Linked DNA regions of Lepisosteus oculatus. The protein of the gene in region 1 purifies or fractionates together with the protein of each later gene. This does not show direct contact. Links are inferred from orthologs where the notes say so. Each region holds a gene or a part of one and is shown in the gene's direction. Other genes may lie near its edges.

Evidence for each region. Proteins that work in one complex are often made in the same cells at the same time.
Region 2: the proteins of bcar1 (region 1) and bcar3 purify together in Homo sapiens (co-immunoprecipitation; 4 studies listed by BioGRID and IntAct, counting the BioPlex papers as one, with this or other methods). This does not show direct contact. The link is inferred for Lepisosteus oculatus from reciprocal best matches to the Homo sapiens genes BCAR1 and BCAR3.

What each region holds. Positions count from the first base shown.
Region 1 is NC_090715.1:820,376-827,738, forward strand, and holds the start of bcar1 (breast cancer anti-estrogen resistance protein 1), read left to right. Parts: upstream 1-4,332; 5' UTR 4,333-4,854; coding exon 4,855-4,866; intron 4,867-7,363. UniProt on the Homo sapiens protein: Docking protein which plays a central coordinating role for tyrosine kinase-based signaling related to cell adhesion. Implicated in induction of cell migration and cell branching. Involved in the BCAR3-mediated inhibition of TGFB signaling.
Region 2 is NC_090704.1:27,726,354-27,733,837, forward strand, and holds the start of bcar3 (breast cancer anti-estrogen resistance protein 3), read left to right. Parts: upstream 1-4,451; 5' UTR 4,452-4,468; intron 4,469-4,642; 5' UTR 4,643-4,700; intron 4,701-7,484. UniProt on the Homo sapiens protein: Acts as an adapter protein downstream of several growth factor receptors to promote cell proliferation, migration, and redistribution of actin fibers.

The sequences.
Region 1 (7,363 bases):
TTCTAGAGAGAGGAGGATATTGTGTTTGTAGTTTCTTGTTGTGAATCGTTCAGTTGTGGATATGTTTTTATACACAGTGCAGGCAGTGAGTGATGTTAGACTCTGTATTTCCATGTGGGAAGTTTTTAGGCTTGGGTGTTTTGTCAGTGTGATGATGGGTCAAGGTTGTTGTTGCTGAAAGTTTTGGGGTGTCCGCTGAGCATCCGGCACACTGCAGGTGACCCCAGTGTTGGACCTGCTCAGCCACTCAGGACACGTCAATGGGCAGGCTGCTGCCCATTCCCCGTGTGTTCTTATCCTGACATGAATAAAAATGGACATCTGAAGTCACGTGCAGGCCCTGCTCTCGTTTTTGTTTCTCCGGCTGCCTCCGCTGTGATGGGCCGGCTCTTGCCATGGCTGTCCCTGCTGGCGGCGCAGGGCGGGGCGTGTCCTGACCTGGCACAGGACGCTGCGATCGCCCTGCGCTGCCAGCCTGCTGCTTGTTATGATTGGTTCTGCTCCTCCCTCACAGTGTCTCTGTGTGGTGGAAGCGCTGTTCGCTCTTGACCTGTATGTGCCTACTGCCTGTTAATAACCGCTGTGGGCCTGAGAGCTCAACCACGTCTAATCTAATAAGCAAACACAGACTGTCAAGTGCAAACAGTGACTTGTTTCACAGGCAGCGATACTCCCAGCAGGCCGCAGCTGCCAGCATGTGATGTCGAGATGCTTTTGGTCAGGCCATTTTCTCCATCCACAGATTAGTGCATTTAATAATTCAACCTGACATTGCAAAGACAAGGTAAGTCTGACATCTGCCCTGTCCTGATTGTTTGGGCGTGCCTTCACAGGGATTTAAACACGGTCAAAGAGCAGTGTTCGGGTCTCAGTTTCTCGCTTGGCACTGTAGCAGATGCGTGCAGATCATGTGTGCCCTTCACAGCGACATCGACTGCTCCTCGTGAACTCTGTTTCTCCACGAGCAAGCAGGGGAGAGTGTATTCCTTCCCGCGGCCTGTGAACTCTGCCGTGAACGTGCTGCTCTGGACCGGGGACAGAAGCAGAGGTCCAGGCAGTGAGGGGCGCTGGGAGAGCCACCCAGGTCTGCCGGCCTTGACAGGTGCTCCTCTTTGCAGGACCCCTGATGTCCCAGCTGGCCCCCCCAGACCCTGCAGTGACACAGTTCACAGTCCCCCCCCAAAAGGGAATGGCAGGACAGGAAGAGCTACAGAGCCTCCGTGCAGCTCACTCCTTTCCTCTGCAAGCTGAGTCTTCACCCAGCATGGTCACACTCTGTGTTCAATTCTTCTTTTCTTTTCAAACACGTCATCCATATCTGTGAAGGAACTGAAATTCCTCATCATCAGGATTTTGCTCGGCACTTGCTTAAGTCTTTGCAGTGATCTGGGGGGAAGCAGAGGTCCAGCATGGGACCTGTGTCACTGGGGGCTTTGTATTCCAGCAGCTGCTTGTGACGTATCCCTGGGTTTTTCGTTGCTTCAACAGAGGGGTTTGCAGAGAGGGAAATGTCTCTTTATTCCATCGCCTGACTGGCAAAGCTCAATGCTGTTGGTTTAGGATCATTTCTGCTCAGCATGTGGGGAAAAGGATTTCATCTTGCAGCTCTGAGTCTGTCTCATACAGGCGTGACTCCAGAACATTCACAAGGCATAGTCAGTCCTATTAAAAACCTTCTTTTAACTTGCTCTTCCCTCAGGAGTCGGGTGCTATTGAGATGTGATTGTAATGCTTTTTTTTTTTAGTGCACCCACGCTGCTGAAAATACCACTGAGATCACCCATTGATTTTCCCCTCCCCCTACATTTTAATCTCCCCGCTTTAATGCATAAGCTCCCAAATGAGATCAATATCTACTTCTCAGTTTTACTTTATTAAAATAATAGTATTGCCACTACCTTCTAGCAATATCTGGGCAGCAAGGCTCAGTAGGAAGATGTTGGAGAGGCTGAGCCTGGGCAGCAGTGAGACAAGAGACCTGCAGGGAAAATCAAGTTCCTGCTGTGGGTGTTGTTGGTAAACCAGTAAGTGGCGCTCTTGCCCCTTGGAGCAGAATTCCCAAAACTGTGACCCAGCTTAGTGACCCAGAGACAGTGTGCTGTAAGGTTCTGTCCTTTGGGTGAGATCTTAAACTGAGATCCTAAGTACTTGCTCATTAAAGGTCTCATGACATTATACGTAACAGAAGAGTTATTAACCCCGGTTGCCTCCCCAGTTCCCCTGAACTGGGTCACCTCTCTGCCTGATCACCCTCTCACCTGGTCTGCTGGCTCCCCAGGTGTGGCTGTACTACAGAAGTAGCCGAAGTGGGTCCCTCCTGTAGGTGAAGCCCTTTGCAGGTCTCGGAGGCGAGGCGCACTCTGTGACTGTAATTATTGTTACAGAATGAAACGCCACCAGGGATGTTTCTGTGTTTCAAGGTCAGGATCCTAATTACATTTCAAACAAGCACTCAGAAGAAAAGCGAAAAGGGCAGGGGGTGTGTTTGTCTCCCTCTTCTTTAAGAAGTATCCAGTTCTGACAGTCCAGCATGCAGGTATAGATGAATCAGCTCTTGAGGGAAGAGTGTGAAGGCTTCAGCAGGGTCTCGGAATTGTTTCCTGTTTCACAGTGTAAAAATGTTCCTGCAGCCAGACTCGGGTATATAAACTGTCCAGGAGTCACAGCTGTCAGGGTTGCTTTCATGCTTTGGGCTTTTGCTGTGACACGAAATAAAACAATCAAATCCACTGGCACCTCCCACACACATCTGGGATCCTCTCTTCTGCGTGTTCCGTGACACAGCAGGGGGGCTGCTCTCCCTGGGGGGCTGTACCTGTTCCTCTCCTGCCCGCCCCTGCAGCCCCAGGGGGGACAGCTTGTGTCTCATCTCGGGAGCGGTGCTGCAACAGCCCGATCCCTGGGGGGGTTCACTTCACCGGTGAGGTGCTGCTGCTGCTCACAAGGCTTTGATTTCGGTACTTAAAAAATGCAAAAGAAAGGGGGAGGAACCTGCGTGCTCTGATGTGCTCTCAGGTGTAGTTCTTAATTCTTTTGTGCTAGACGTTCAGCGGTTCAGCAATCCGCTCACTACTTTCACTGCATGACTGCTTACCACAGAGAGCGACTTGTAAAAACAGGACAACATTTTGACACTGAAGTGTCTTTGTCAGGAACCGGCACATGAGAGCAAGAGTGTGGAACATCATTTGTTAGTGGCAGAGGCTTTGTGAGCTTCCTGTCTGCTTTGATGCTGCGTCTCTCCTGTGAATAATTCAAGTAAACAGCAAAGAAAGATTTGCACAGTCTCAAAACCAGTGGAGGGTCCCCAGTCCTGACCTCTGGGCAGGGTTTAAAGCACCCACACATGAAGAGCTGACACACCTGCAGGACTGATTACATTGGAGTTGGGCTGTGCAGGACACCCCAGTGCTAACAGGGGTATTGGAAGATTTCCTAATGGGTCACCACTATGACAGGACCCGTAAAGTTAATACTAGATTTTTCATTACCTTTGTGTTCACGAGTCTCTCCAGTCAGTTCCTCACACCAGTCCTAATGAGAACCAGCAAACTCAGTACAAAGGCTTGATTGTTGGGGCTCAAGTTCTGGACATCAGTTTTTAAACCTAAACCTGTGTTTGTGGTACAAGATTTCCTGCATTGCTCTGCAACCTGGCGTGCTCTGTGTTTATCTGTGAGTACAGCTGCAGGAACAGCCGCCTGTGACACTTATACACGTCTAGAAATGGAGTTTGCAGTTATTCAGGATTTCATAGGGTAGAGGTGCCATTGTTGCCAGATATATCTGCAGTAACAGTAGCAGTAACAGTTTTTAGTAGAAGGAGAGCAGTTTATTATTTCTTAGCAATTAAACAGAGCCTTTTAGCCCAAATGAGTCCAACGCTAAACCTGTGTAAGAGGGGAACCCTTTCCATCCCTTAAGCGCAGCACAGATCTCAGACGTTTATGGGACCTCATCTGTGACTGTGATACATTTTGAAACAGGAGGCTTGTTCAGGCGCACGAAGATGTAAGACATCCTGGGATCACAGTGAAAATCCATGATTGATGACTTTCATGTAACTGTTTCCAACCTTTACCGTAATGACACGAAACTAACTGCGTTCATTGCAACCAAGGACTGAACATGCCAGGACCATATACTGTACTGGATGTGCTGTTAGTGCTACAGCTGATAAGTTATCGATATTAGCCAGAGTGAGAACAGGCATTTTACAGCCGACAGAAAATGAAAAAAACGTTCCCTTTAAAGAGCCGTGCTGGAAAGCCTATGTTAAAAGCGCCTGCGCCCCCCGCCTCTCCCCCCTCCGGGAGACCATCCCTTTAAACCGAACTTGCTGATTCCGTCCTCGCGGCCAGAGAGCAGCTCCGTGTCTGCTGCGCCGGAGTGACATTTACTGCCGCAGATCCGGGCGCCGGAGCAAGCGGCTCAGGGAGCGATTGCATAGGAGACCCTTTACGCTTCTAGTACCAGACTGAGAAGGAGAGAGAAGAACAACCAAGGGACTGGTGACATTTAGGAGAAGAGAAGGTGTGATTTGCGGAGCTGAGACAGGGGGGCTCTGTAAATACCAAGTGCACGCGCTGGGCTCGGCTGGAATTGGGAGCTCTGCTTTGCTGGATTTTGGGTGAGACGAACGAAATTCCTGACGTTGATTTCCGACGCAAATCAGACTGAAGATCCTGGTTTTGGCGTGGATAAAGAATAACATACAAACGATAAAAAGCAAGGATGTCATAAGGACGAAAAGCCCCGAGTTGTTTTGACAAAATAGCGTTTTTCTTTTTTTTTTACAAGCGTCAAGTACAGTTTCCATCAACCATAACGCAGACCAAGCGGCATATTTCAAAGATGTCTGTGCCGGTAAGTAAGAAACCTAGAGACAAGGAATCCCTGTATGCTGTAAATTCATGAGTCGTGAGGAGGTTCCGAAGGCGGAGAGAGACCGGGCTGAAGTGTACACTATGCGCGGACGAGGCAGTGTGGAAGTCTGCGCCAAGTAGCTCCGCTTGGCTGACTTGTGTGCATTTCTGCTCTCTGTTTATGAGTCCGTGTTGTGGATCTGCTGCTGCGCTGGTCGCGGAGATTTCAGGGCAGTTGTCTGTAATGAAATGTCCTTACCCGAAGTTTCTACTGTGTACCCATCAGAGGCGGGTGGCGTAGCCCCGGCTCCGCCGCGCGGGTGTGCGGGCAGGGCACGGCGGGATGCGCCTGGTGTGTAAGGCGCGCTAGACCTTCTTTTACTGCACGAACTTTCCGTGCGCTGCGTGGATTACTGAACGGCGGTGCGTCCGAAATATCCCACCTGCCCGCACGTCAAACCTAGCTACCGCTCTGATATACAGGTAAGAGGGGCGCAGGGGGCACAGTCCAGTCCAGGTGGGGGGTAGGGTTCTGGTCTTCTTCCGACCTGAGCCCTAATTCCCTAATTACATTACGGCTCATTATGTGCTTAGTTGATCATATTGAAGCTTTTCCTCGAGAAATTGGATATTTAAATAGACTCAAAACCCTGCTGGACAGCCGTGGAGTATCGGCTTTGAGCGTCCCTCGGTTAAGGTACAGAATACATGATTAATCCGATACGCCGGCGGAAACCCCTCGTTGTCTATGGTTTTGATCTGGAACTTCCGATTTAAAGAAACACTTGTGTATGCTTATGCACTGAGTATACATATACTGTATGTGCATCATTTGGTGGGTTATAGAGCACTTTAGTCATGCTCGCATTGTTAAATGTTTTAGACAAATAATAATTATATCCTTATATAGCCTATTTCTGGACACTCCACTCAAAGCACTTTACTTTGGAGGGGACTCTCCACCACCACCAGTGTGCAGCTCCACCTGGATGATGAGATGGCAGCCGACCTGCACCAGTTCACTCACCACACACGCCACGGTACCACCCCTAGTCTTTTTAAGAAACACCCTGGGATTTTTAATGATCACAGAGAGTTGGGACCTCGGTTTTACATCTCACCTGAAGAGCAGCGCCTTTTTACAGTGCAGTGTCCTTGTCCCTATTAGGACTCACAGACCACAGGGTGAGCACCCCCGACCGGTCCCACTCACACCTCTTCCAGCAGCAACCTCACATTTTACCAGGAGGTCTCCCATCCAGGTACTTGCCAGGCTTACAGCTGCTGAGCTCCAGTGTGCTGCAAGTTGTGAGCTGCAGGGTGATATAGTTGCTGGCAAGTTTTATTTATAGACTTCTTTGTCAAACGTTTGCCAAAGCTTGGAACACGCAAAAGAACAGTGCCCACTGTGGATAGCTGCAAAGACCAACATTTATTACACAAAGGAACAAGTAATAGGTTTATTCCATGCTGAAAAAAAGAAGAAAGAGAACACAACGTTTCGTCGGTGGAGCCTTCTTCAGGTGTCATTTTTACACAATACCAGCAGTTGCCAGGTCAGCATCTTCAGTGTCCGTCAGATCCCAGCCGAATCCGTAGCTCCAGTCAGATCCCAGCCGAATCCGTAGCTCCAGTCAGATCCCAGCCGAATCCGTAGCTCCAGTCAGATCCCAGCCGAATCCGTAGCTCCAGTCAGATCCCAGCGGAATCCATAGCTCCAGTCAGATCCCAGCGGAATCCGTAGCTCCAGTCAGATCCCAGCGGAATCCGTAGCTCCAGTCAGATCCCAGGGGAATTCGCCATGCCAGTAAGATCCCAGGGGAATCCGCCGTGCCTCATCAGATCCCAGGGGAATCCGCCGTGCCGCATCAGATCCCAGGGGAATCCGCCGTGCCGCATCAGATCCCAGGGGAATCCGCCGTGCCGCATCAGATCCCAGGGGAATCCGCCGTGCCGCATCAGATCCCAGGGGAATCCGCCGTGCCTGTCAGATCCCAGGGGAATCCGCCGTGCCTGTCAGATCCCAGGGGAATCCGCCGTGCCAGTCAGATCCCAGGGGTAGTGCAGTGCCAGTCAGATCCCAGGGGAATCCGCCGTGCCAGTCAGATCCCAGGGGTAGTGCAGTGCCAGTCAGATCCCAGGGGAATCCGCCGTGCCAGTCAGATCCCAGGGGTAGTGCAGTGCCAGTCAGATCCCAGGGGAATCCGCCGTGCCAGTCAGATCCCAGGGGTAGTGCAGTGCCAGTCAGATCCCAGGAGAACCCGCTGTGCCAGTCAGATCCCAGGGGTAGTGCAGTGCTAGTTCCTCCATGGATCTGGTTCCTTTATTTTCGCTGATAAAAAAATTGGTACTTTTGTTTTCACACAATTTCGACTGAATAGGATGTAACAACACTCTATTTTGCATTGATATACTTTTTCTATGTTAATAAACAAGTGTTTTTATGAAGTTGTTAGCAGATTTCTATGAATTCATATCTGGGACTGTTATCTAGTAGC
Region 2 (7,484 bases), on another chromosome or scaffold:
TGTCACTGATGTCACTGCAGATACATAGGTAGATACATGGCAAAACACAGGAGAAAGCTCAGATGCAAGTTGTGTAGTGCCCCTCATGGACTCCTAGTCAGAGCTGACACTTGGCATGACCCAAGCTTTTAGTTCTTAAAAAGCAGCACTTCCCAAGTCTACACTTAAAGAAGAGGGTCTGATAGTGGTCCTTTTAGACTGTGCATCTGTAACCTTAAGATCCTTATGCACCCCAGAACCCTGTGGGCGCTCTTGATCACCCACTCCTGTAAACAAAAATATGTTAGAGACAATAGCGGTCTTGTTGTACATTTCAGAAGCCCTATTGTGCTTCTTTAAATAGACACTCCTGCACACATTAACACAATCGTCATGCCTGCTCTCCGTCATTATGTCTAGAACCAGGTTTGTCGTCAGCTGCTGTTACAAATTACCGAATGGACTAGTAAATATTTATAATTGCAATCACACACTACTGGAAAGCAAAGCAGGCAGCTGTCTTTCAAAGGACTGACTCATCCCTGCAAGTAGCTGTCTCACACTGACTTCCAAGATCAAACGGGAAATCAGAAACTCTCTGCCAAAGAAAAAAGCTGATCTTGTAAAAAAAGAACAGTATGCATCCAATTTGCCAGTATCTTATCTATTAAGAATCTCCAAACCACTACATTCTCAAGTTTTCAAGTTTCAAGTTTCAAGTTTATTGTCATTACACTTATATACATAGTTTATGGTATAACGAAATGCTATTTAGGTAGCTCTCGGACATAAGTAGTACAAAGAGAAAAAACAACAACAACAACAACAATACAATTGTGTAGCAAAATAAAGACAGAGACAACAGCCAGTGTGCAAAAAACAACAACAGACGATGTGCAAAAAACCAACAACAGGCAATGTGCAAAAAACAACAGGCAATGTGCAAAACAACAAAAAGGTAACAGGTTATGTGCAAAAATGTCTGCATGTTTACTTACATTCAAACTGTTTGCATGTTTACTTACATTCAGACTGTCTGCATGTTTACTTGCACATTGTCTATTGTTTGTTTGTACATTGTCTTGATGCACTCTTTGCACTTTGTTTTGTTTTTTACACTTGTTTTACAAACGAGAGACTTTCTGTAAGTAAGAATTCCATTGTACCAGTACCGGTTACATATGGCAATAAAGTTCAAGTTCAAGTTCAAGTTCATATGCATCAACAGAATAAAATAAAGGGATAGAAATTATGGGGAGTGAGCTTTTGACATGTATGGTAGAGGAAGATTTTCAATGTGTGTTTGGGTTTTTGGTAAGAAAGAAAGGAAGGAAGAAGGCACTGTGAGGTTCAGATCATAGGTGAGAGGTGAGGTGAGAGTGAGAGAGGCTGGGAATTTAACAGTTTGATAGTGCGGGGGTAAAAACTGTCTCTGAGTCTGGTAGTCCGGGCCCGAATGCTCAGGTACCGTTTTCCAGATGGTAGCAGATCATAAAGTCTGTAGCTGGGGTGTGTGGGGTCTTTGATTATGCTTAGAGCTTTCCTCAAGCACCGTCTGTCATAAATGTCCTGGATAGATGGGAGGGTAACCCCAGTGATGGACTGGGCAGTTTTCACCACCCGCTGTAGGGCTTTGCGGTCAGCAGCACTGCAGTTGCCATACCACACTGTGATGCAGCCTGTCAGTGTGCTTTCTGTAGTGCATCTGTTGCGCTTTCTTGATCGGACAGGTGGTGTTGAGAGACCATGTGAGGTCCTCGGTGATATGGACACCAAGGAATTTAAAGTTACTGACCCTTTCCATTTCAGTCCCGTTGATGTGGATAGGGGCATGTCCGGTTTGCAGTTTCCTGAAATCAACAATCAGCTTCTTGGTTTTGCTGACGTTGAGGGTGAGGTTGTTGTCATCACACCATGTTGTAAGGAGATTGACCTCCTCCCTGTAGGCCTCCCTGTAGGCTTATTAATTGAATAAGAGGAAAGAATAAGAATTCTTTCTTCTTATTCAATTTTGAAGCAGCTTAATTCCTATCTGAAAGTGTGTGGGCCAAGGCAGGGAGTTACTGTAGGGGTGTAGGTGGGGTGGCAGGAGAAGTAAGAGATGTGTGACGTATATCCATTGGCAAACCTAAGAGTGCAAGATTTTCTTCCTCCCGATTTTCTGTTACAAACTCCATTAAAAAAAAGCTAATGAAAGGAAAAAACTTCAAATTAATGTGCCCTTCCACTCACCTTTTATCCTTGTAAATACACTTTGTTGGTACAGGCATATAGCACTGCCGTAGTATACTGTAAACTAACAAAGCACGGCACTTGTGCCAGAGTTATTTCTCTACACATGACTCTAGGCAGTAGGTAGAAAACAACTGCACCCAGTGAAGAGAAAATGAAAAGTATTTTTTTTAGAATAAACTGGTTTATTCCCAATTTATGGGTTGGTTCACCTCCTCCTCTCCAGCTCCCTGCTGGTCCCCATGGCAAGTCACTAAGGCAGAGAGATGAAAGGCCAAACACAGTAAGCTAAGCATCATAAAACATGCATTTAATTAAACTTCAGTTTCTTGCTTGATATGTATTAAGAAGATGCTTTCCCTGCTCTCTTTAAAGCTATCCAAATGCAAAATGAGATACCTTTAGTAAGCTGCATGGTAGTCAGACAGCACAAAATAAATCAGCTTACTGTTTTGTCTCAAATGTTCCAAGTATAACCTCACCATTAACCTATTAAATGATTGATGTTTAATTCCCTTTAAGCATTTTTGTGTTATCTTTCAGTACTTGTTGGCTTCCATTATTCCTGCACAAAAAAATAAAACTAAAAAAATAAAAGAGATGTCACTGATCTCTCTAATGGGGAAAAGAGGTGTGTGTGAGAGCTCTTTCCTCCAGGCGTTGAAAAAATAGAAATTGGAAACGAACAGGGTTCCAGGTATGGTAAGAGAATAACTCCACACTGGGGATGTGTTTGGAGCTGAACAGGTATTTAGCAGTGTCCTGGCTTTCTGGTTAAAGTCTGCACTAAAAAGGAGTAAATGTGAAAATTAAAACAAATAAATCATCTCATTAATATATTGATAAATATTTTTTTCAAAGTGCAGTCTTTTCCCCCCTCACTTGATTAAATATAATACACCATACGTGCTCAATGTACAATTTATCAATGTTATGTGTGGACTGCCTCTTTTCACATATTATCATATATAACTTACAGCATTTCAAAGTAGCTTTCTATGCTTTAAAAAAACATTTCCCTCAGAAGACAATAAGACAGATGATTTGCAAAAAAGTCTCTTAAGTGGCTCTTACATTAACTTCTGGAGAAAGCCTGACCACAGTGCTTGAAGAATCATGCGAAATGGAGTCTGTCAAGAAACAAAAGGAAAGAATAATCCAAGATCATCTCTTACCCACAGCTCTTAACAGCAGCTAAAAAATAAGACCTGGTTATCTTTGACTATTTTCCTTGGAAAGAGTTCAATTATCTAAGAGTCTGTAGTGTTGCAAAATCGCATCTTCTGGTATGAAGGAGGACTTTGGGTCAGAAGAGGTGAAGGTAGAATCTAGTTCAGATTCCAAGATTACGTTTTCCACTGTTTCATGATTGAAACATAGTGAGCTATTGGGGAGTGTGCTATAAAACAACATTTTTTAAAAAATTGAACCGCCCATTGTTTTCTTTACATAATGTGTAATCTAAATGTTAATCAACTTACCTTCCTGCCACCCCACTTGAACCAACAGTAATGACTATGCACACTTTTCCTAGGACCATGTTCTTCCTGGTGCAGGGAATGAACACTACAGTTCCTATAGGAGTGGAAACACACGGAAAATACTCCTAGAAGCGATCAACTTCAACGGAGAGCAGATGTAACCCAACTATTGGACCTTGATTAATTCCAGCACATTCATGCTCATTGGTCAATGTAGAAAGCAGTCAGATTTACTCAGAAAAAAAACATTTAAGAAAATGAAAAATCACTCAGCCAAAGGGTTAACAGAAGAGACAATCTATTTTTCAAACTCCGTGGTGGGGCAGCCAGCAGCCCTGAAATCCCCTCTAAATGACCTGATTCCAATTAATTTCCTCAGAACTGGGCTTAGAGGCTGTAGATACAGCATTTTTTTCCAACGCTAATTTTCTTTTCCTTGTTATCCTTGCAGCGTTAATGAAAGGAAGAGTCTTACAGCGGCTTAGTTCAAGGGGAGGGCGAGGTCTGGAGTTTGCTTGGAGATAAAGCCCATGACCTTGGTTATAAAAATTGACTGCCTCGTTTAACACATCCCAGCTGCTGCAGCGGCAGGTTGGCAGCAGTATGAGAGGAATGTGCGGAGTCCGGGAGCAAGTTGCAGCACTCCCCAAGAGGAGGGGGGCTGAAGAAGCAGAGTGTGTGGAGTGTTTTTCTCCTGACAGAGCGGAGCGAGGAGGAGGCAGAGCTGCCCCCCCCCCGCCCTTCCCCTTCTTGATTGGTGAAGAGCACGTCTCAAGGTGTGTCTTCTGCCCACTGGGATCCTACAGCCACTGCGGCTGCTGGGAGGCTTTCCCTTGACAGCCAGTCAGTCTCCACGACACAAATTCAGAGGGTCCGATGGACTAACGTGGGGAATTTACTGAACACTGTGCACTTATGAAGTTCTTTGTATTGTTTCTTGTTTCATACAGACTTTGCTGGAAAGGGAAAGAAAGAGGCAAACACTAAACTTCTTTCGCAACAAACAGGGTAAGTTTTCTTCATCCTATCATACTATGTCTCTTTTTCAAATTTGCGAGTTTGCATGACCATTTCTAATCCAGAACCAACCTGCTGCCTAAATTGTGCTGTATACCTTAGTTTATAGGAGCAGCAGTAAAAAAGCAAATTCCAGCAGATTTCTAGTCAATATAAGATTATTCATGAAGGTTTCAGTGCTTTCCTATAGATAAACAATTTAACACACAAAGCAAAACTGTTTATGATAAACTGACAGTGTGGTTGATTACATTCCTGCTGCACTTGTCTTAAACTAGCTGTAAAGAATTGGGGTGTATTTATTTCACACAACCACTTTGCGAGCTTCATCTTAAGGCAACACCAGGATGCAGAGGGGAGGTTCAAGTATAATCTGCAAGCCATGGACCATAATTAGTAAATGTGACATTCAGTTTACCACTGTTCCAATCACGATATGAAAAAGAACTGCTCCATGAGGTCTTTAAACATACTCAATGAAAATACAGTAGAATATTTTCCTATTAACTACAGCAGAGGCATCTTCTCTTGGAGAAAGCTGAGGCTTACCCTTCTCTTTCACCTGCTCCTACAGTACCTGCAATTGCTACTTATGAGCCCCAGTGGCATCCACGATCTGAGAAGCCGAGCAGTGGTATCACTTGCAGTGATTGGCAATGTTGGCAGTGCCCACATCTGTGATCTCGAAACAGGACCAACGCCTCAATTATGTTGTGCTATGCACCCTCCGTGTGGTGCATAAGAGTTTGCAGGAGCCACTACTTTTCCAGGGATTCCCGTGCTTTTGGATTACAAATAGCAGGGTTGCAAGTTTCTTTCTGCAACCATAAACACAAGAATTCCTGCGTGTGCGGTGAAGTAATTAACGTTTTGGGCACAGTTTTTTAGTATGAGGCAGGGACCTGAGCACTTACTCTATTAACGAGTCACATGGCTGCACTTCACCATGTGCCTTTAATGTGGTTTTTTTCATCACTCACACATGGAGAGGGCTGCAAGCCTGGTGGCATGCTTCAAAGCAAGACAGGATGTATTTCACAAAAGCCAAGGAGACTTCATTTTCATTCTCTGTGGTCTTGGATATACTTAGTATAGATGTACTCTTTTCTAGAGAAAACCTGAAAATGAAGATATTTCGCACTATGTGACGTTTTAAGCTTTGTGGGATTCTTATCAGAGTAGCTAATCAAACTGCTGTGTGATTTTCTAGTTGTTCAGAGTGTCATGGCGCAACTGAACAAGATAAGGAATTTTAAAAGATGACAAGTGATTTCAAAAAGTCATGCTTGATTATTACTTGTTTAACAAAGAAAGCATCCTCATTAGAACCCTGCACTCAAATCTTATGGAAATCTGAATTAAGTTGTTTGGTCAAACCCTAATTAAGGAGGATAAGTGGTATCTAGATTTCTGTTGGGGTTACTCCCCTGGCTGAGGTTAACAACAACCTATCAGTTGGAACCTCTTCCTTCTTTAATGAGGAATAAGACAGGGAGCTGCTTCAGGGGTAAAGATGGGATGTAGGAAGGGTTGAGAAAAGTGAGTGAGTAGAGAAAAAGCATGATGCTTATAAACAGGTAGAAGTGTCACGATATTAGTTCCCCCTCCTTAAGGGTGCTCCAGCCCTATCACTCTAGACTTTATTCCATGCACCTGCGCCCTATTCCCTGCCTACCTTAAAAGCCAGGCGCTGACGCTCTTCCGGGCTCTGCATCTGATTTCCATATCGTGCGAGTCCGGGACCAGGAAGCGCCTGGTCCCGTTAAGGTTTTAACCCCTGTTCCTTGTCCCCTGTCCGCCGGTTCCGACCCGGCCTTCGTGGTTTTTAATTCCGTGTTCTGATGGATCTTCTGGTTTTGGACTTACCTTCGTGTTTTGGATACTCTATGGATTACTCTCGGATTGTTCGCCTCGGCCATACCTCCCCCGTGCACCAGCGCACTTTGGACACGCCCCCTTGTCTTCAGCCCCGTTTTCCTGCATGACGTTTCCCTAGTGTTTCCCCACTCCGTCGGACTGTGTCGTCCGCATAGGGTCCGGAAAGAACTGTTCGTTACAAGAAGTGGGTGAGATTAGGGTTTGACCTTCTCCTGAGTGAAGTGTTCATCTGCAATTGCATCAAAGGGACTGGAAATCCAAAAGGCAAACATCATATATACTGACATGCTATCAGAGATGTTCGACAATGGGATGAAAATTTGTCAAATTTTGAATTAGAAAAAAAAGGCACAGTGCTTGGACAGCTGTTCAATGCATGCAGCTGTTGCTGCTTTGTTATGTGAATTCAGGATGTTGTAATGAATACAAGAAGAAAACAGTAAAAAAGTAAAATGTAATAAGCGATACAAGTTTTATTGACACAACACCCTCAAAGACATTCAAAATTGTCTTAACAAACATTGATTTTACATTTCAATTCTAGTATAACTTTTCAGAATTATAAAGTATAAACTATCACTATCCAGGATAACAATAACTACTCAAAAACTCATTAGAATCCTGCACTCAAATCTTTTGGAACATTGTAGAAGATTGAATGAAGTAGAAGATTGTTTTAAGTAACATATTAGCCTAAATGCATGAAGTTGTTTGAAACTGTCTTGAAAACATTAACGCTAGAATTCCATTAAACATCCTATTTTCCATTAAGCAATCAATAGGACACTTTAAGTATAAATTACAGCCATAGGTAACTCTGGAAGAAACCATTTTAATGCATCTTGCCCTGATTTAGATGGGACATTTGGGTTCTCTGTTTCTTTAGGATGTACAAAC